Schizosaccharomyces pombe: one gene and its partners. The gene in region 3 interacts genetically with the main gene of each other region. Each region holds a gene or a part of one and is shown on either strand. Other genes may lie near its edges.

Region 1 (6,202 bases), 1.3 Mb from region 3:
AAAACTTAATAGGTCAATGGAAGAAAATACGGCTCAAAAGCAAAGTAATGCCACAGGCTTGCAACGACACGTATCAGGAAGATGGATTTCCAATGTTCCAAGTTATGAAGGTAATGAATGGAGTAGTGAAGAATCTGAGAGTGAGGATAAGGAAAGTAATCTCACCAGTAGTGAGAATATCGGAAAGAATCCCGAAAGGGAATTAAATTCTGACGGAACCGATCGCATTATAGAAGAAGAGGAGGAAGAGGATGATATTGAAAACGAGGCAAGTAGCTTTAGCGAGCAAAGTGAGAACGAGAATTATGACTTTTCATACCCTGGCACTTTTGTTTACCGAAAAGCAGCATCTAGTAGCCATGAGACGCTTGCTACTAAGGTTGTCTCCGCTGATGAAAGTGCACGGTTATGGGCCGAAAAGAGGAGATTTCTTTTACAGAAATTAGGAAAAGATCCAAATTCTAAGCCGATTGATTACAAATCTTCCATGGCATCTTCTAGCACCCGTTCATCTCAATCATCACAAGTTTCAGCCATTCAACCTCAAAGTCAAGATGATAATAGGGTCTCGGATATTCGACAAATGGAAAATCGAAGAGAGTTAAATGTAAAGAGGAGATCTGTTTCAAGTCCAGCAGAGGATCTTGCTATCCGTCCTTTAAGTTTCTCTAGGTATAAAAAGGCTGAAGAAATACCCGAGTCTTTACCTCCTATCAAGGGTAGAGATAGTTTTTCAAGTGTCAGAGAGCTCAATGAATCAAACGTATTTGCTCGTGCTCCAAATAAGAACCGATTCTCATTTGCTTCAGTTGCAGAGACTGGTAGTGGCTCCAATTTTTCCAGGGCTACCTCTTCCAGAAGTTCAAAAACTCGTAGCGTCGTATATGAACCTAATCATAGGCATACCAGCTTCTTTGGGGACACGCTTAGTAACCTATCTTCCTCGTTGAACGATAAGAAATCTCCTAATGACGATCATGCAGTACTAGATAGCGAATTAATGGAGCAAACTTTGCCGGACTCTGCCGAGGCGGTAGAAATTGCTAATAATGTGAAAGAAGATATTGTTTCTACCGCTAACGATGATGCCAATGAATTGGATAATACGAGTGAAAAAGCTACTTTGGAAACTAGTTCAAAGCCTGTTACGGAACAAGCAATTGAGCAATCTGAGGTTGTTCAAGAAGTCGAGGAGGGAGATACGAACATGACTACTAATACAATTTTGAAACCAACTGACGAAATTATTAATAAGGGTTATGCGTATTCTATAACAAGCTCACACTCGAATCATTCAAATGAGAAGTTTGAACAAATACCTAGTCCTGATGAAAAGCTTTCTCGAACAGATATTGACACTCATGTCAAGCAATTACAAACTACTAAGTCAACTGATAGCTTGTCTATTCCATTTGTTGAGTCTCCGCAGCAAAACCCAGAGGAAGAACTTTCGGACTCACTATCTAACGATTTTGGAATCGATGCTGAAAAGGAGAAGGATGAAAACCTCTCAAAACCGGAGCATCATCCATCTATAACTTCTGTAAATTCACCATTTCTTTATTCTCCTAGTAAGCAGCCCTCAGGTGAGTTGGATGAAGAAAATCTTAAACTACGATTACAAGATTCAGATGTGGATGATGAGGTAGCCACAATTCGTTCACTTAAACAAAATAATGCTACCAATTCGGAGGTTGAGACAGTTACGAACGATCCTTCTTTCTCCCAACAACCGGGTACTCATAGTCGTATTTTGCGAAATTTTGATGCTATCAGCTCTATCGATTCAATACCTGATAGCTTTTCTGACAGCGCTGTCGATTTGCCTGTCGATTCGTCAAAATATACCCTTGTTGGAAAAACTCAAAGTAATTCCAATCTACTTCAGGACAATGCTGAGAAACATATTTCAAAATCGAACCTTGAAAAAGTTGATGTGAAAGGAGATACATCACCCAATTCTGTCGAGCAAGGGATTGAACCTCAAGCTGCTTCTGTTGTTGGATCTCCACGCTCTTCTTTGGTTTCTAACAACTCCCTAGAGGAAGGAGCACTATTGAAAAACTCAGAAAGCTTGGAAAGTATCTATGGTTATCTTTCGGAGGAGCCCGATCCAGCTCTTACCAAGTTGAATACCGAAGACCCTTTTTGGACTAAGGGGTCATCTGACGATGAACATACAATAGCCTCTGTAGAACAAGACGTATATCCATATAAAACTAGTCTTCCAACTATTGTTGAAGCGACTACTTCTCACACTGAGTCAAGTAACTCAAAGGCTCCCGCAATTGAAGAAACGACAACTACAAAGGTCGAAGTGGTAGCTGCTCACGATGCAGTTTCAATATCCAGTAATTCCAGTACACATAAGTCTCACTCTGAACCATTAAATAGAGATGAGTTAGAAGTTGCTGCCTTAAGCCGTGGATCCTTGCCAGAACCTCCAAAACCCAACAAGCAAATAGTCGTTCAGGAAGAGGATCAACGAGACACACTATCTCTAAAGACAAGCACGACAGGTTTATCTTCTCATTCTAAAAGTGCTGAAAATAATTCAACTCAGCAGTCGACCACTTCTCCTAGCATTAACTCCGGTGCTTCAGCGGATGCTGTTTCTTCTGGAATTTCCAAAAAGGCTGATAATAGTGAAACTAATTTAAATTACTTTGCTACCTTAGATGCGTTTGTCAAGAGTCCATTGATGTCGTTCGATGGATTGGGTGAATTAGGTTCTACCGATCAACGTTACAACTTTTTCAATCAAAAGATTCAAGAATATTCAGCATACGATTCGGGCCTTGATAATTGGATTCAGTTTTGCTTAGAAAAAGATGGTGAGGCTCCAAAGGAAGCTCCTCCTCCTCCTCGTTCTGAGCCAGTTTCAACTACAACCAAACTTGCCAAAAGAATTACGCAGCCTTCGTTGAGTCCTGCAAGGTCAACTGTTACTATAACTCACAACATTGCTACTGAAGCAAAAAAGAAGTCTAAATCTGCTGCTAATGATATTTTACATTTGTTTAAGAAGAAAGCAAAAAGTGAACAATCAAACGCCAAGTCGTCATCTAGCTCTATCAAAGAATCCAAAAAGATGAAAACTCTTTTCGGAAAAAAATTGGGATTCAAATCATAAATCTTTTGCATACACTTTTTACCTAACTTTTTTCTCTCTTTTGTAATTTTCTAATTTATGTATTGTTTACGAAGCATTGCATTTCAATCAATAAGATTTTATCTAAATATTGTTTCATTTTCGTATTGCGCATTTTTGTGAAACCATTTAGTTATTTTTATCAGACGATGAGTTAAAATATCAAGCATATTCTGGTTTTGCTGCCACTTGTCTAAACCAAAATAAGAAACTGGACGAAAAACTTTCGACAAATTCAGGCTAGTACACAAAACAAAACAATCGAAATTAAATATTCATCATTTTTTGGGATATTCTTTCGTTTTCTTGGTGTTTTAGGATTCTGAGTACGCTGCTTTCAAGCTAAGTTTCATTAAATGGATGTCGGCTGAAGAATACATTGAGGTATCATCTTCTCCTGATATATTCACGGACGTATGAAAAAAATATGATATTCTATAGCAAATGATTAGAAATATTACATTGAACTGAAGTAAATGTATATTAACTGAGCTTTAGGATGATGACATGATAACAATAGAGCCAGAGCTAAACAAAAACCCTAAAGATTGTAATAGTAAACGAAAAAGATCTGTTACTGAATGTTGTGAAATTAGGCTGATAACTTCTAAATGTGATTTTGAGTCTACTCAACAGCTTGTGCATCACAATTGTACGGGACATAAGGTTCATGAGCACAACTTAAACGCTGTGGATGAAGAAGATTTTGATACTGAAAATCTCCCTCTTCTTTTTTCTTCCTTTAGCGACAATGAATCAGATATCTTAGAACCCGATCTTAACACTCGGGTAGCTGAAGATAATGATGTCCTTTTATCTAGATACAGCAAAATTAAAAATAGTGCTTCATGCAGAAATACTTTCGAGCACTCTGCATATCACTCAAATAGGGAAGAAATATCTTCTAGTGGTTTTTATTACCATAGGAAGCCTCAATTGTTCGAAAAATCTTTAGAGAAGTTAGGAAATAAATCAATTGAAGCCAACAGGAGTCCTCTTATAAAAGAACTTTGTGAATCGGCTAATTCTACTGAAAACGTTTGTTTTTCTGTTTCCACCGTTGATGAAATTCAGCAAAGGCATCCAAGCGCCGGTCATTCAATAGACTCAACTTGTCAGTCAAACTCGTTTCTTGAAGGCGATAGTGCTACACATAAGAAAAAAAAAACGGACAATATTAAAGAGTTTACTTCATGTGAATTTAATGACCGTAGCAGAACCCTGTTAAACTATGCCGGTTACATGGACACTAACAAAAACGCTGATAATGAAGCTAAATCATTAAAAGAAAAGTTGGAGAATTTTCCGGTTGAAAAATTACGTGCTATAGCGGAAAGTTATGGCTTCAAATCATCAGATTCGAAAGCAACTCTCATTAAGATAGTAGAATCTTGTTTGGATGCAATCGATAGCCGATCTCAGTCTAAAAAATTAGGCAAAGAAACTCCCCATGATTATTTGATAACTTCTACTAAAACAGTATTGGAGTTTGATGATATAGTGACACAGACTCATAGAGCAATTTCGCAAGTTGTTAAGCAAGCCAAAGACAATAGTGTGTGGATTAAAATTCTTACGTATTCTGCTATTGATGTGGAAGAATTTCAACTTTGGCTGAAGCGGAAAAATTTAAATGTTTCGCTAGATCTTATAAAGTCTTGGTGCGATAAGTATGGAGTACTCATGAAAGGGAGTTGGCATTAGCTAGCTAATCAGTGATTTTTGAGTGAAAATTGATGGTTTTTAAAGCAAAACAATATCATTTTTACAAAAAGATTTTGGATTTTTGAGCATCAAAATTAACAGCAAACAACCCAGCTTTAGATTTAAGTCAATTCAAGTCCTGTTTTAGATAAGAATCGTCCTTTGCAGCAGTGCTGAGGAAAAATCAAGATATCTTTTATGTGTTATAACGAGTAACATATATTATTGGAATCAAAAACTAATCATTATATCTTGCTTGGTCTTTGGAAACAGTTTGAACTGTTTGAGATAGCTTGTCTATGAACTATTTTGGAATATTCGGTATACAAATTTAGTACTATAACTTTTTTGTTAACACCACGTTTTACAAGGCAGTATACGTTGTTAACTATGAAAAAACCGTAACTCCAATTTATGTAAAATATGGCTTCTGTATTGTGATATTCAACCACTGAACTTCTTTTCATATGTCAGTCAGAATGCCAAGTAAATCCAACTGCTGCTCTTTTAGTATAAATGTACTGACTACAACAGTAAAATTGGTCTTTCATATAAATCTAGTACTGCACCTTTACAGCGGGCTCATGACGGACTAGTGATAGCAATTCAAATGAAGATGTTATTTCATTCCTATATCTACTGTATCTTTTTCTTAAGCAAACATAAAGTGTTTTGCGTATTTGTTGCATACGCCACTATATATTTCGGTGACTGACGTGCATATGAGGTGTAGACGCAGCAGCACCCATATATACATTCCAATTCCCACATACTTCCCTTCTTTGATCGAAATTATTGCATCTTAGAAAGTATTTATTTTGAGTATTCAATTTGATTTTGTTTTTATTTTTGTAACCAGATATGATTGTTTTACACCACTTAAAGAACTCTCGCTCTACTCGAATTGTATGGATGCTCGAAGAACTCAAAGTGCCTTATGAAATCAAAGTTTATGACCGTGTCGACGGACGTGCTCCCCCAGCGTATACTAAGTTGTCACCATTAGGCAAGAGTCCTATCGTTGTCGATGACGGTGTCACTTACATTGAAAGTGCAGCCATTTTGGAGCACCTGGTCAGAAAGTATGGACCGTCATTTAAACCCTCAGAAGAGGATGTTGCCGAATTGGAAAAATATGAATTATGGATGCACTTTTCTGAAGCATCTCTTATGCCATTTATTTGGGCAAGTCATGTTTTGGATCTTAGTGTGAACATGACTCCCATTTTCTTTCGTTATATTGTTCGCCAGTTTGTGAATGGGATAAAATCCAAGTATCTAAGTAAAGAAACATTTTTGAACCTTGACTACATTGATAATCACCTCGCATCGAACGAATACTTTGCA
Region 2 (9,276 bases), 3.0 Mb from region 3:
AATCTGAACATGTAAAACATGTTAAAGACGTTCTACAGAAATTGAAAAATGCGAACTTAATTATCAATCAAGCAAAATGTGAATTTCACCAATCACAAGTAAAATTTATAGGGTATCACATTTCGGAAAAAGGATTTACGCCTTGTCAAGAAAATATAGACAAAGTCTTACAATGGAAGCAACCTAAGAATCGTAAAGAATTACGACAATTTCTAGGTTCTGTCAATTATCTTAGGAAATTCATTCCAAAGACATCACAATTAACACATCCACTCAATAATCTTTTGAAAAAGGATGTACGCTGGAAATGGACACCAACACAAACCCAAGCGATAGAAAACATTAAACAATGTTTAGTTTCTCCTCCGGTGCTACGACACTTTGATTTCAGTAAAAAGATTCTACTGGAAACTGATGCTTCAGATGTCGCTGTAGGAGCCGTATTGTCTCAAAAACATGATGATGATAAATACTATCCTGTTGGATACTATTCAGCAAAGATGTCTAAAGCACAATTAAATTATAGCGTATCGGACAAAGAAATGCTTGCAATCATTAAGTCTCTCAAACATTGGAGACACTATTTAGAATCCACTATCGAACCTTTCAAAATTTTAACAGACCATCGAAACTTAATTGGTCGCATTACTAACGAATCCGAGCCTGAAAACAAACGTTTAGCTCGTTGGCAATTATTTTTACAAGACTTCAACTTTGAAATTAACTACAGACCTGGATCAGCAAATCACATAGCTGATGCCTTATCCAGAATTGTTGACGAAACAGAACCAATTCCAAAAGATTCAGAAGACAATAGTATCAACTTTGTTAATCAAATCTCGATAACCGATGATTTTAAAAACCAAGTGGTTACAGAATATACGAATGATACAAAATTGTTGAATTTACTAAACAATGAAGACAAACGAGTGGAAGAGAATATCCAACTCAAAGATGGCTTACTAATTAACAGTAAAGACCAAATCTTATTACCTAATGATACTCAGCTGACTAGGACAATTATTAAAAAGTATCATGAAGAAGGTAAATTGATTCATCCAGGCATTGAACTTCTTACAAACATTATATTACGTAGATTTACGTGGAAAGGAATAAGAAAACAAATACAAGAATATGTACAGAACTGCCATACATGTCAAATAAACAAATCTAGGAATCATAAACCTTATGGACCTTTACAACCAATTCCCCCATCAGAAAGACCTTGGGAATCTTTATCAATGGATTTTATTACAGCTTTACCAGAATCATCTGGTTATAATGCACTTTTCGTGGTAGTTGACCGATTTTCAAAAATGGCAATCTTAGTACCTTGTACGAAATCCATTACAGCAGAGCAAACAGCTCGAATGTTTGATCAACGAGTTATTGCTTATTTCGGCAATCCAAAAGAAATCATTGCAGATAATGATCATATTTTTACTTCCCAAACGTGGAAAGATTTCGCACATAAATATAATTTCGTTATGAAATTTTCGTTACCATACAGACCACAAACTGATGGACAAACTGAGCGTACAAACCAAACTGTGGAGAAATTACTAAGATGTGTATGTAGCACACATCCAAATACATGGGTAGATCATATATCCCTAGTGCAACAATCTTACAACAATGCGATACATTCAGCAACTCAAATGACACCTTTTGAGATAGTACATCGCTATTCACCAGCTTTATCACCTTTAGAGTTACCTAGCTTTAGTGACAAAACTGACGAAAACTCTCAGGAAACGATCCAAGTATTTCAAACAGTTAAAGAACACTTGAATACAAACAACATAAAGATGAAAAAGTATTTCGATATGAAAATACAAGAAATTGAAGAATTTCAACCTGGAGACCTAGTTATGGTCAAAAGAACGAAAACAGGTTTTCTTCATAAATCCAATAAATTAGCACCTAGTTTTGCAGGACCGTTCTATGTGTTACAGAAGTCGGGTCCAAACAACTATGAATTGGATCTTCCAGATTCAATCAAGCACATGTTTTCATCTACTTTTCATGTTTCTCACCTAGAAAAGTATCGACATAATTCAGAACTCAATTACGCTACCATTGATGAGTCTGATATTGGAACAATTCTTCATATCCTAGAACATAAAAACAGAGAACAAGTACTCTACTTAAATGTCAAGTACATTTCGAATCTAAATCCGAGTACTATTATGTCAGGATGGACTACATTAGCTACAGCGCTACAAGCGGACAAAGCAATTGTCAATGATTATATTAAAAACAATAATCTAAATATCTGAGAACATATGACTTATCCTCAGATTTACATAGAAAATCTTGGGGAGGGCAATGTCAGCAATACTACACTACGCTATAATACACTACGTTGAGTATCACTATATGTCACATGTTCTAATTATATATCGTACCATGTATGATACGATATGGAGATTGATCTTAATGATAATCTATTAAGATCAATATTATCTGAATACTATAAATAGAGCTACTGCTGAACCTCGTTCCTCAGTTCAGTTATGAGCTATATTAGTGATAGGTAACATTATAACCCAGTTAATACAATACCTATACTCAGTTGCTACTTATACAACCTGTGTATTGTAATATAATAGATCACAAGGAAAACTCACCGCAGTTCTACGTATCCTTAAATCAGATACCAAACTGCGTAGCTTACAATTTCATAGAAGTATGACCTTTGAACAAAATCACTATTTCACTTAATGCAGTGCTTAAATTCTTTAATTTATACTTAGTGAATCAGTAAATTTAAAATACGTTAAATGGCTTTATGGAATTTCCAAAGGAACTCTTCGAAGAGGAAATTTCAAATTATGTGATAGATTAAAGATTATGGCTATTATTCGATAAATGAGTGTTTTTTTACTCACTTGATGTGTGATATGTTACCACAAACAAAGTCCAATTTTGAAGGTACAAACATCAGAAAGTCCTGAATTCTAGCAACATTAGTCTATGTACGGACACTTTTCAACTCGTTTTACTTCATCTAGCTAATCATTTTCTTTAATCTAAGAGCCATTACATGTCTTTCTGATAGGATTTGTTCGGCTATGCTTGTTATTTGTTTATCGTATAGAGAGCGACTTATAGTGAATATATACAAAAACCATTATGATGATATACGAATTCTATATCGGTTATTAGGTGCTTCCCTAATACAATACTACACCCGCGCAATAATTCGTTATAACAAATCGTTACTGAAAAGACATGGAATATACACATTGGCAATGTAATTTTAAACATAATTAACTTCATTACTTTCTCATGAAGTTAATTGTATCTTAAACCATTTGAGGGAAAAAACTTGTCCTTTACAATTACTTCCGACAATAAAGGACGCTTTGCAGTGAATGTCTTATGGAATTGTTGTATTTGACGACTGACGAAACGAAGTACCTTAGCAAAATTCGTTTTTAAGTAATTCCAGCTAAATTTTTGCTAACAATATAAATCATTGATAAGGATGTCCGATGATTCTTTTAGTAGTGATGAAGACTGGGACGAATTGGACACCCAAGTAGTTGATAAAATTGAGAATGAATATCATAATAACACGATAGGTTTAAATGGATACTCAGTTGATGAATATTTTGATGCCAACGATTCCAATAGATATCGTCTACAACACGAGTTAGATGAAAGTGCAGCACAGCAATGGGTATACCCTATAAACGTCTCCTTTCGAGATTATCAGTTTAATATTGTCCAAAAAGCTTTATTTGAAAATGTACTTGTAGCTTTGCCAACAGGTTTAGGTAAAACATTTATTGCAGCCGTTGTGATGATGAATTATCTTCGTTGGTTTCCAAAAAGTTACATTGTTTTCATGGCTCCTACTAAACCATTGGTTACACAACAAATGGAAGCTTGCTATAAAATCACTGGAATTCCAAAGAGTCAAACTGCTGAATTAAGTGGACACGTTCCTGTTACAACTCGAAATCAGTATTATCAAAGTCGAAATGTTTTCTTCGTAACTCCTCAAACCATTTTAAACGACATCAAGCATGGAATTTGCGATCGGACTCGTATATCTTGTTTAGTAATTGATGAAGCACATCGTAGTACTGGAAATTACGCTTATGTGGAAGTTGTTCATCTACTTTCTCTTAGCAACAAAAATTTCCGTATACTGGCTCTTAGTGCTACCCCCGGAAATAAGTTAGAAGCAATTCAGAATGTAATTGATTCTCTTCATATATCCAGGATTGAGATTAGAACTGAAAACAGCATTGATATATCGCAATACGTTCAGAAGAAAGAGGTGGATTTTTTTCCTGTAGATTTGTCTGCAGAGATTACAGATATAAGAGATCGATTTTCTTCTATATTGGAACCTATGCTTCAAAAATTGAACAAGGGTAATTATTATCGAATTCAGAATGCTAAAGACATAACTTCTTTCACTGTGGTTCAAGCTAAACAAGCTTTTCTTGCAATGTCTGGTCAAAACTTTCCTGCTAATCAAAAATGGGATATTTTAAATACTTTTGATGCATTAGCGACTTTTGCCTATCCTTTAAATTTGTTACTCAACCATGGTATCCGACCGTTTTATCAAAAATTGCGAGAGGTAGAAGAAGAATGCTTTGTAGGAAGATCAGGTTATAAGAAACGCATAATAAATCACGAAAATTATCGTCCTTTAATGGACGATATAGAAATTTTGTTGCGAGATCAGTCTTTTGTCGGACATCCCAAACTAGAGCATTTGGAACGTATTGTTACAGAATATTTTGAAAAAGAACAAACCAAGGATACCAGAATTATGATTTTTGTTGAAATCCGCTCTAGCGCCGAAGAGATTTTACGATTTTTGGGTAAATTTTATCCAAATGTGAGACCAGCTATTTTTATTGGACAATCTGCTGTGAGAAAGGCTGCTGGAATGTCTCAAAAATTACAGAATGAAGTATGTAATCTGAAAATGATGGATCCTTAACTAACTAATCTCTAGACTGTGAAACAATTTCAAAAAGGTGAAGTCAATACTTTAATAGCTACCTCTATTGGAGAAGAGGGTTTGGACATAGGTGAAGTAGACATGATCATATGTTACGATGCATCTGCTTCTCCTATAAGGATGTTACAAAGAATGGGCAGAACTGGGAGAAAAAGGAAAGGTTATATTTATATGCTTTTGACGCGAGGCAAAGAAGAAGCAAAATGGGAGAGAGCCAAAGACGCTTATCGAACTTTGCAAGATAATATTGTCAGTGGTCGCGGTCTCAGCCTATCGGAAAAAAGTTATAGAATTTTACCAGAAAAGTTTCGCCCGGTTTGTGATAAACGAGTCATAGAAATTCCCAAAGAAAATGAAGAAGTTGTAGTAGCTCCAAAGAAAGTGCAATTGAGAACGAAAATAAAAAAGAAATTTTTCATGCCAGAAAATGCCTTGAATGGATTTATTACTGCGTCCGCTTTAGGTAAACCGAAACGTGCTTTAGCCAAGTCTGAAGAATCACCGTTCGAGATATGTCCCGTTACATATAGCATTGAACAAGAAAAGAAACTGGAAAAATATAAGCGTGTTTGCTTAAGAGGTTTGGATATTCATAGAAATAGGAGGTTATCTCAATTGAGTGTTACAGGACGGATACCGCATTCTCTAGCTACGAAAAGTATACATTCATTTTTAAAGCATTTAAATACTATAGATTCGCAAAAGGCTCAGGAGTGGAGAAGAGAAATAAACAACCAATTCCAAGTATCAAATATCAACTCGACGGATCGTGACACAAAACAGCCAAAGATGCATGACTTTAGACAACCTTTACACCCAAATCCGTAAGTGTTTAAACTATTGAGTTGTTTAACGATAATTACAGATTATTAACATACAGGATGACAACTTTGAAAAGGAAAGGACAACATAATTCATTTTCTTACGACAAGTCTACACTGTTTTATGACAACAACAATAATTTAGAGGAAGACCTCCCGGATGTAAATATTTCTATATCTTCAAGGAATGAAGAAGCATCCAAGACAAAACCATTTGACGACCGACAACAACGCCTTCAGCAACTCGTAGAGAAAAGGAAACGTATGAAAGGAATGCTGATTTAGAGAATTAAATAGTGTTTAGAAATAGCCTACAACGTTTTCAATTTGTAGTCTAACTCAAAAAGATATTCGTAGCATTCCATTTGAGTTTTTGATTTTTCCCATGTTGCTCCCCAACCGATAACCCCATGTCCACGAATAAGAACAGCACATGTTTGTGGATAAAGCTCGATGACTTTTTTTAGTTCATCTAATATTGTTTTACTATCGCCATTGTGGATAACTACATAATCAGTATTCAGATACCAGTCAACACCAACAGAAAACACAACTTACTAGGAACCTCTAGAGTATCAAAACAGCAAAGATAGCCTGCTGAAGGATTTCCCTTTGGAATTCCTTTGATCATTTCCTTAGATTGTGTAGTAAATTTCTCATTATACATCGATGCTCCGACTGCAGCGACTGAAGTAGAATATATACAGGCTACTGCATCCATATTACTTTTGATGTGTTAAAAATTGCTGTAAATAGAAAAAATGATGCATACCTCAAAACCCATGAGAAAATGTAGGCCCAATTGACTAAATCCTTGGTGACTGACTGATTGCTGTATAAAAGGTTAGATACTAATTGGAGCTGATCCAAATGAATAATTTACCTTAAATTAAAGGTCACGATATCGTTTTCCGTTATGAAGTCTCTTTGAACCCTGTCCTTAACGCAAATTGCATAACCACTAAATGTTAACAAAATCGTTTGAATACCGTACAATTACTTGTTCTTTAGACAAAAGTTTCCACTAAATACCAATTAGCTTTAAAAAATTACTGAACATTAAACGTCTTGAACGCTACCTGCCAAATTTCATCCATCCAAGACTGTAAAAATGAGGAATAAGTTCAAGAATCAAATTTTTCTCTAATTGGAGACTCATTCTTCTAAAATTTTCAACTTTAACCTTTAAAAGTTCCCGTACTATACTCAGAAATGATTTATTTAATGATCGGTTCTTTCAGCAAAGTGAGTAGCGTTTCATAAGTTGCGTTTGCAAATTTGATATTAAAAAGTAATTGAAGGAAGACATATGTCACAAAACACTCTACACAATCATTCATTAAGCTTATAATACACGAAAACTTTTACTTTAAAGAAAAAACAATTTGAACAAATAACGAAATAAATTACCATCTAAAATTTTAAGTCATTGTAACCCACCTATTAGAGTAACCAGTTAAATAAGTTTTCAGGCCTATATATTCCAATACTGGGAAACCAAGGAAAGTAAGATGTTAGGAAAAAAGACTTATTTTTTGACAATCGTCACTACATCCTCATCCAACAGTACATGAGATAAACCAACACGCATGCCAGGATAAGGAACGCTTTTTCCCCAAACATAAGCATGTTTAAACTGGGATTTGATACTTGAATGAATATTGTTACACTAAAGAAGTTAGCAACACGAAGATCGGCAGAAGCAATTCGAAAACTTACAAAATCCTCGACAGTAGAATGGCCAGTACGAAGGATAACAGGTTCGCTGTAATCAGGTTCAAGACCTCTAGGGCGTGTATAGACTCTAACCAAATTCAAATAGTCCCACATCGTTTCTTTAAGTTCGTCAATGTTCCAACCCCTGTTACCACAAATGGGTACGGCGTTAGGAATACGATCAATCAAATCAAGTTCTTCAATAGAAATTGAATCAATTTTATTTAACACGTAAAGTGCCGGGATATAAACGCGATTTCCTTCCAAGACATCAATCAAATCATCAATGGTGGCATCACAACGAAAAGCAATGTCAGCAGAGTTAACACGATATTCGCTGCAAACAGCACGAATTTCGTCCAAATCAATATGAGTCAAGGGGACAGTATTGGTGATATTGATACCACCACGTTCTTTCTTTTTGAATACAATGTTGGGGGGTTCCTTATTTAATCTTATACCAAATCCTTCCAATTCCTCTTCAATAATACGCTTATGAGACATTGGTTTCAATACATCCAAAACAATAAATATAAGGTTGCAAGTACGTGCAACAGTAATAACTTGTTTACCACGACCACGACCATCTTTGGCACCCTCGATAATACCAGGCAAATCCAAAATTTGAATTTTTGCACCATTGTATTGCAAAACACCCGGAACCGTTGTTAAAGTTGTAAATTCATATGCAGCGGCTTCACTTCTCGTTCCTGTAAGCTGAGTCATGAGTGTACTTTTACCGACGGAGGGAAATCCAATGAAACCTACAGTACCAATACCGGTACGAGCAACATCGAAACCAACTAAGAAAGATTAGTACTCCAAACAAAAATTTGACGTTCAGTACATACGCCCTCCACCACCTCCTCCACCGGTAGGGGTGATCAATTCACGTTTCAATTTTGCAAGCTTGGCCTTTAACATTCCCAAGTGCTTAGCCGTAGCTTTATTTTTTTGGGTTTTGGCCATTTCATCTTCAACTTCTTTTATTTTTTGCGCCGTAGTCGCCATTTTGTTTTTTTATTATATATGAAAATGCTATGAAAATGGTGAAAAGAAAATTCTATAACTAAGTACGTATAAGATCTTTTGCATTATTGAGTGCTAAGCAACCCTCTTTATTTTATATTAGTGTATTAAACCACATTACAACAGCCAAACTATTATTAAGATACCAGGTAGAATATCACGTTGGATCTCGATATTTGTTCCTTGTTGTAAGTAAATAAAAAAATATGTGAAATATTGAATCCAGTTATTCAATAGAATTTCATAAATAAATCTTTTTTCTTTTGCGTGTCTTTTTTTATGCGTTAGATCAATATAAAATATGTATGTATATAAAAAGTTGATAATTTTGTTTTGTTTTTCTTACACAATTTTAATGCAAATATTAAATAAATAAGATTGCAAAAAAGTAGTTGCTGATTGCGCAAAAGCTTGGATTAACAGTATTTTTTGATAAATAAAAAAAGAAATAAATAAATTTAGTATGTTCTAAGTCAACGGCAAATGAATTATTATTCAGGGGTTGAAGATAATGTCAGTTAACAAGGTTAATTATCGGGTCAGGGTAATAATTAAAAATTAAATAAATAAAAAATATCTGCGGCTGTTGCGTATAAACAGTAGACGGATGAGCAATTATCCCCAATAGCCTAAATACAAAATATAAGAACACATAGTAGAAACTACAAAAACATTTTTACCGGCAACAATAACCTCGTTGATATAGTGGTATTGTTGATA
Region 3 (6,641 bases):
AGAATTCTCCGATTATGAAAAAATCCCATGAAGAAGATGGTGACAATAAATTGTTATCTTCTTCTGATCAGCTTGCTAAGAGCACAAAGCATGCTGCAAAAAACAGCCCTTCTAAAAAGAAGCGCAAAACAAGTGTTGCTACTGCTGAAGATGCTTCAACGGATAGTGTGAGTTCTAGTATTGCTATATCAGATGCAAGTTTGTCTTTGAGCCTGATGAAAGATTTACTTTCTCTACAAAAAAGAGAAGATTTGTATTTTGTAAGTATTTTTAAACTGTCGTGTTAAATTTTATTCCCTTTTCTTACTTTTCTAGTCTTCTAGAACTTTAGCATACGTATTTGGTGGTTGTATGCATTCATTAGAAACAATTGAAGGAGAGGAGGAAGGTGAATGTTTGTTTAATAACTTGAAAGCTCTAATATACAGTCCCGATCTATCTATGGATTCCTCCAATTATGTACAATCTGTCGTTCAAACATCATCGTCGATTTTAAATTATTCAATGAAAAAATTATTATATAATGCCTCCTTTGCTATAACATCTTTGTTTAATGCATTATTAATTTTGGACCCTAAATCATCCACCTTTATCTTTCAGGAAAATGTCGTTTCTTTAATAAGTGGTTTTCTTCTTAAGGAATACGAAAAAAGCAATTTTTTGGACTCAAAGTTTTACGTTTTAATAGATTTTCTTTATTTATACTTATCTATAGCACGTGAAAGTGCTGATGACTTTGCAAACATTACTAAAGCGGTTGATCCGTCGTTATTCGAATCCTGCATTCGAGTGCAAAATGCTCCTTCTTTGATTAAATGTGGTGTTTGTTTAATTATTAGTTCCACCACTCCTTCGTTTTGCGCTTCAGTTAACTTGTTAAATGCCGATGATAAATCCCAAGAATCACTCATGCAACTTTTCACAACTATGGCCCATATTTTAGTTGTTACTACTAGGGAAAGGATTAATTTTCCTGAATTGGTACGTTTACGAATTGTGCTTATAATCTTTGCATTGCTTATTTCTAACAAATTAGAATGAATGGATAACGCTTCATCGCTTTGTCATATCCTTTTTTACCGTGTTTATACAAATGTCTGGAAACATTGGTAAAGAGATTTTAAAAGTATGCAATCCCTTAATAGTATGCATCGGACTAGCCATCACTTGGTATCATCAGCAACTCCTTTCGTCAATGTACCCTCAAAATGAATGCGTAGAGATTTTAGTATCTCTTGTTCGGCTTCTGTACATTTTATCTTCCGAAGATTTATCATCAAAATTTATGTTAGCTGAAAATGCGTTACAACCTCGTTTCGTTTATGCAATAGCATGCTGCGCATTCGGCGATACTGAACAAAAAGCGTTTGGCAATTTGGGTGAGGAAATGTATTTTCTCACTACAGAATTGTTGGAAGTTTGCGTCTCTCCCGAAGAGCTGGAGCAGTTGTACACTAATTTTTAGATAATGAAACAGATGAATCTATTTCCCTAATTTTTCAAATGAAATAATGATACTTGTTTCTTCAGTGTTGTTCTTTCCCGTCCCGCACCCACATCCTCGCAAATTAAATACAAATCAATCTGTTTCCCCAAAGGAATGCGTACCACAAAAACATCCCCATTCCGTTCTTTTAGTAAAACTTACGGCTATATTTACCTGCAAATAAAATCATCTAGCAATTAACGAAAATGAATATATTAAAGTACCACTAACATAAAGAATCATCACTATGTAAATTCAATAAAATGCATTTGAAAGTTCAAATATCAAAACCGTTTTGATTCATAATAAAGAAAATCCGTCATAGAAGAGTTTCAAGAAAAACTGTAAACATTCATAACATAAAGAGAAAAATCCAATAATTCTCTTCACTAGAGTTTTTCTTCATTCTTTATCCATTGAATGCATATTTTTTTATTTTTTTTACAAAAAATATTTGCGTCTGATTTCCTTAAATGGGAGAATCCATTCCCAGGTTGATGTGAACAGCTTTTGTTTGAGTATAATTGGTAAGACCGTAAGAGCCCAATTCGCGACCGATGCCACTCTCCTTATAACCACCAAAGGGAATTTGGTGATGAAGTAAGTTATAACAATTCACCCAAACAGTACCGGCTTCAAGAGCATTGCTGACCTTGATGGCATTGGTAATATTGTTAGTGTGTACACCAGCAGCTAAACCATATGTACTGTTGTTACCGCGACGGATGGCCTCCTCGATGGTCTTGAATTTAATGACGGCAAGAACGGGTCCAAAAATTTCCTCCTTACCGACAGCCATGTCCTCGGTAACGTTGGAGAGAATAGTAGGTTCGACAAAGTAACCGAGATTACCATGACGCTTACCACCAATCTCTAATTTGGCACCATGAGCAATGCCACTCTCAATATAACTAACAATACGTTCATACTGTTGCTTACTAACTTGAGCACCTTGGAAGGTATCTTCGGCGAAAGGATCACCAACCTTCAAAGTCTTGGCCTTGGCAACCATGCGTTTAATGAACTCATCGTAAACATCCTCTTGCACGTAGACACGGCTACCTGCACAACAGACTTGACCAGAGTTGTAAAAGATACCATAGTTAGTCCAGACAGCAGCTGAGTCCAAATCGGCATCGTTGAAAACAATATTGGGAGACTTACCACCCAATTCAAGAGTGACCTTCTTCAGGTTGGAGGAGGCGGCAGCACGCATAACCATACGACCGACACCGGTAGAACCGGTAAAGGCCACCTTATCAATGTCCATGTGAGAACTAATAGCGTTACCACAACGGCGACCATCACCGCTGAGAACATTGATGACACCTGGAGGGAAGCCACATTCAGGAACAAACTTGGTAAGACACAGAGCGGAAAGAGGAGTGAGTTCGGCAGTCTTCAAAATAATAGTATTACCACAAGCGACGGCAGGAGCAATTTTCCAAGCGCACATCAAGAAAGGGAAATTCCAGGGGATGATTTGACCACATACACCAATGGGTTCGTGACGAGTATAGGCAAAACGCTTAATGTCGGTTTCAATGGTTTGACCATAATCCTTATCGGCCCAACCACCATAATAACGGAAACAATCGGCAGCAGCTTGAACGTCACCTCTAGCCAAAGTGATACTCTTACCATTGTCAAGAGTCTCAATAGAAGCGAGGTATTCCAAGTTTTGCTCGATACAGTCAGCGAGACGGGAGAGGCAACGTCCACGTTGAGCGCTGGAAAACTTGCGCCATGGAGCATCGGTCTGGAAAGCGGCACGAGCAACTTTCACGGCGATATCGACATCCTCTTCGTCGGCGTCAGCTACCTCACAAATAAGTTTCTCAGTAGAAGGAGAGTAAACCTTCACACGACCACCGTGAACGGAATCGACATGTTGGTTATTGATAAAGAGACCGACAGGTTGAATGTAAGTTTTTCCTGTAGGAACGGTAATTTCGACGTGATCAACGAGTTTTGTAGACATTTTGAAAAGTTTGTATTAAAAAATTGAGAAAAGGGGTCGTTGTCGTAAATGAGTAAGAGTAATTAAAAAATTAACTAGAAAAAAAAAAAAACCAAAGATAAAAAATGAAGTAGTGGGATAAATTTGGCAGAGCTGAATTGAAATGCAAACACAGGACAAAACCAAAAGATCAGTAATGAAATGGAAAATATGAGGTGTTAACGATTGTATAAAATAATTTTATATCAACCAAAGTAAACAACGTCGTCAAAAAGTTATGGGCGAAACCAAACTATAAGTAAAAGAGCACCTAATACGAAAAGATTAGATGGTCAGAAAAGGACCGGGGTAAATAAACAATGGCCTCTTATTATTCTTAAGAAGAGGGGGATGCAGTTTTTATAAAATGTGATAAAAACCGAAAGACGACAAAATCAATGAATTAAAACAATCAATTGTCGTTGTTAGTAATAATACCACAAAGGAAACCTATATCAATTTGGATGTAGGAAGTGAAGGAAAGACTATAGATAGAGGAATATACTAATAAGAGAATAGCAAGCGTGTTGTAGAAACGAAAAGACCGTGCTGTTCTACTTATTTCAGTGAACTGCAAAGGGGGGCGAATTCAATATTTATAGTAAAAATCATATATGACTTATACGATGATTAGTAAACAAAGCTCCAACTCCTACTGATTAATGGTGACACAAAAGACCGACACCTGGACGAATGATTTCCTATACATGATCTAATTCAAACAACGACGAATGACAAAACAGGACACCTTACCCCATGATGTCAATGCTTAATTTTGGCGAATCAAAGGAAGAGACACCCTCAAAAATCACAAGATTTCATATGTGCTAGCGTACGCAAAGCTTCCCTCCCAAATCTCACTGTGCAATAGTAATATGCTTTAGAGGGAATTGCATACTCGGAAATACAATTCACTATATCGAAAATTTGATATTAACAAACGAGGAACGATGAAAGACGAACGACGTTGAAACTCCGATGCCAGCCAACCTAGTCTAGTCTAGTAGCAAAAAGCAAAGCAACTTCTAGCGCCATCTGCATAGTGCGCTTTCGCTTCTTAAATTTTCTTCCTTCTCTTATTTCCCAAAGAATGCGATGCGCTGAGAAAATGGGAGCACCTTGGGCTAATCTAGTCAAAATGGGTCATTTTCGCAGGAAACCCCATGTTCTTTCGCTCTCCGAAAATCCCAAACTCGCTTTTCATTTGCTTTGCTCAACTTGTTGGTTTTGTTAGCTTCGACCCACTGGTAACTGTTAGTATTCTCTGCTTTATGGCGAATTCCCTTCTCACACGTTCCTGCCCCATCAACACGAGAAGTTCGGCCCTGGGCCCTTTGAATTTTCCCTACCAAAACATCTCTTATCATGGTACGTTACGTGCGGCATTTAACGTGGATAAATGAATGGAAAGCATAAACGTAGATAAGCCATTACGTTGAATAACCAAGCATAAACGTTGATACACAAACAAAAGTGGGATTTCATACATATGCATAACAAAAGAAACTTTAATCTTCTGATAGCGTTTGTTTAGTTTGGTTTGTTGACCCGCACGTCCACTACGGCCGCGAGGAGTTGGGCTCTTTTCGTACGACCTCAAAATAAGGTTTATTACGTCAATGTGCCGTAATTACTTTAATGCATGCGAAGCGAATCATGGCCAAGCGATGAGAGTAAAAAAATGGGAAACAGAGTTTATCGAGCGGTTGGTTAAACCATTATTCTGTATTTAGGAATTGGTAATAGTAGCAAACGCTTGTGTAAACAGATATACCCGAGACACTAAAATTCGCCACCTACGCTGACATCTTAGACATTAGCTACGCCAGTTTCCGCCCAGTACTTTGAAAGTCGCAAAGTGGGGGATTTCGATCCTTATGGGGGTAGGGTGAGCGTTAAGACTAGGAAAGGGTGGGATGGAGGGGACTGGTGAAGACTTGGACTGGGGTTCACGTGTGTGGGAGATTTTGGTCTATGTGGGGGATTGACTGGATTGGTAGTTGTAAAACAAAAACACAACGGTTGTAATGTAGTAGTAGTAGTAGCAGTATAATGTGTTTCAAAGTTGGTCTTGATTGATGAATGTGAGTCGATTTTATGCCAACGTGTCTTTTTTTTTTGTTTTCACTTAACGAACCAGAGTTCCATTTGTTACTAAAGAAAAATAAAATATAAAAAAATAAAATAAAATTCTATTTCTTGAGTGTTTGTCCCTACTACTCTTTATTACATTTCTTTGATATTCCCATCGCTTGCATCCTAATTAGCAACCTCTTTAGCATCATAAATATAATACTACTACTTTCTATGAGCCAGTATTTTGGTCGACCTATTGCTGCTACTGCAAAAGTATCCTTTCTGCGTCTTTTTAAAATTTTCAACATGCGAAGCTTTCTCTTGACACTGTTGTGTTAAGGTTCGTTAAGCGGTTCGCACTTTGACCACCTTCGGACATTTGTCTTCGTTTATAGTCCATGTGATTAGTGCATAACCTGCTATGGTATAAAGCATGCAACAAAGGAAAATGAAAGAAAGTATTGAATATGCGAAATGCGACGCTGATTAAGGAAGACTAGAATGAATTAAAAAATTTTTCTTGATATTGCTTTAGAAAATCTTTTTCGTTTCCATTTGTTGTTCTTTTTTTTGCATACATTTTTTTTTTCGGTGGCATTCATTTTATTCTTTTCGGTTTGTTTACCTAATCAAATTTTACTATTTGGAAGTGCTTCATCCACATTTTCAAGAGCTAATAAAATTTTTTTTTTTGCTTTCTTATTTCCCTTTTTTTATTTTTATTTTATTTCAATTATTAACTCTTCTCTTTTTTCCCTCTATCTGTTTCTTCTAACTAATCATCTTTGCTCTACATTCAAATCACTCAGTAATTTGTTCGCAAACATCGCAACTAAATTTGGAAATGAAATTCAAACTATTTTACTCATGGTCGCAGTGCCAATTTCCATTGTGCAACTTGTCAAGATAGCGAAGATCACTGAAATTTGTAAATTCAAACACATAAAACGCAAAACCGTGAGAACTATACACTCTTCCAATGTTTTAATTTTTTTGTTTCTCCAATTTACTTTTTTAATAACCCATATTATTACTCATCACATTATTGTATTGTTGTTTTAAGCATGCCATTTTTTCGTA

The links.
Region 1: mutations in atd1 (region 3) and slx4 impair growth when combined (synthetic growth defect), as found in Schizosaccharomyces pombe (2 studies listed by BioGRID, with this or other methods).
Region 2: mutations in atd1 (region 3) and fml1 impair growth when combined (synthetic growth defect), as found in Schizosaccharomyces pombe (one study listed by BioGRID).

Annotation. Positions count from the first base shown.
Region 1 is NC_003424.3:3,116,310-3,122,511, reverse strand, and holds slx4 (structure-specific endonuclease subunit Slx4), read left to right. Parts: upstream 1-3,338; 5' UTR 3,339-3,511; coding exon 3,512-3,565; exon of another isoform or gene 3,566-3,649; coding exon 3,650-4,855; 3' UTR 4,856-5,632; downstream 5,633-6,202. Other genes in the region: protein Rng10, read left to right, coding at 17-3,133; glutathione S-transferase Gst3, read left to right, coding at 5,717-6,202. UniProt on the Schizosaccharomyces pombe protein: Regulatory subunit of the slx1-slx4 structure-specific endonuclease that resolves DNA secondary structures generated during DNA repair and recombination.
Region 2 is NC_003424.3:1,467,570-1,476,845, forward strand, and holds fml1 (ATP-dependent 3' to 5' DNA helicase), read left to right. Parts: upstream 1-3,264; 5' UTR 3,265-3,490; coding exon 3,491-4,939; intron 4,940-4,984; coding exon 4,985-5,814; exon of another isoform or gene 5,815-5,870; coding exon 5,871-6,096; 3' UTR 6,097-6,122; coding exon of another isoform or gene 6,123-6,316; 3' UTR 6,317-6,369; coding exon of another isoform or gene 6,370-6,536; 3' UTR 6,537-6,583; coding exon of another isoform or gene 6,584-6,643; 3' UTR 6,644-6,694; coding exon of another isoform or gene 6,695-6,772; 3' UTR 6,773-6,811; coding exon of another isoform or gene 6,812-6,835; 3' UTR 6,836-6,890; coding exon of another isoform or gene 6,891-6,970; 3' UTR 6,971-7,339; coding exon of another isoform or gene 7,340-7,480; 3' UTR 7,481-7,530; coding exon of another isoform or gene 7,531-8,330; 3' UTR 8,331-8,378; coding exon of another isoform or gene 8,379-8,538; 3' UTR 8,539-8,706; downstream 8,707-9,276. Other genes in the region: Tf2-1 (retrotransposable element/transposon Tf2-type), read left to right, coding at 1-2,279; SPOM_SPAC9.06C (5'-methylthioribulose-1-phosphate dehydratase), read right to left, coding at 6,123-6,316, 6,370-6,536, 6,584-6,643, 6,695-6,772, 6,812-6,835, 6,891-6,970; SPOM_SPAC9.07C (GTPase Rbg1), read right to left, coding at 7,340-7,480, 7,531-8,330, 8,379-8,538. UniProt on the Schizosaccharomyces pombe protein: ATP-dependent DNA helicase involved in DNA damage repair by homologous recombination and in genome maintenance. Capable of unwinding D-loops. Plays a role in limiting crossover recombination during mitotic DNA double-strand break (DSB) repair.
Region 3 is NC_003424.3:4,451,605-4,458,245, forward strand, and holds atd1 (aldehyde dehydrogenase), read right to left. Parts: upstream 4,054-6,641; 5' UTR 3,468-4,053; coding exon 1,956-3,467; 3' UTR 1,676-1,955; downstream 1-1,675. Other genes in the region: ATR checkpoint kinase regulatory subunit Rad26, read left to right, coding at 1-260, 316-981, 1,037-1,465.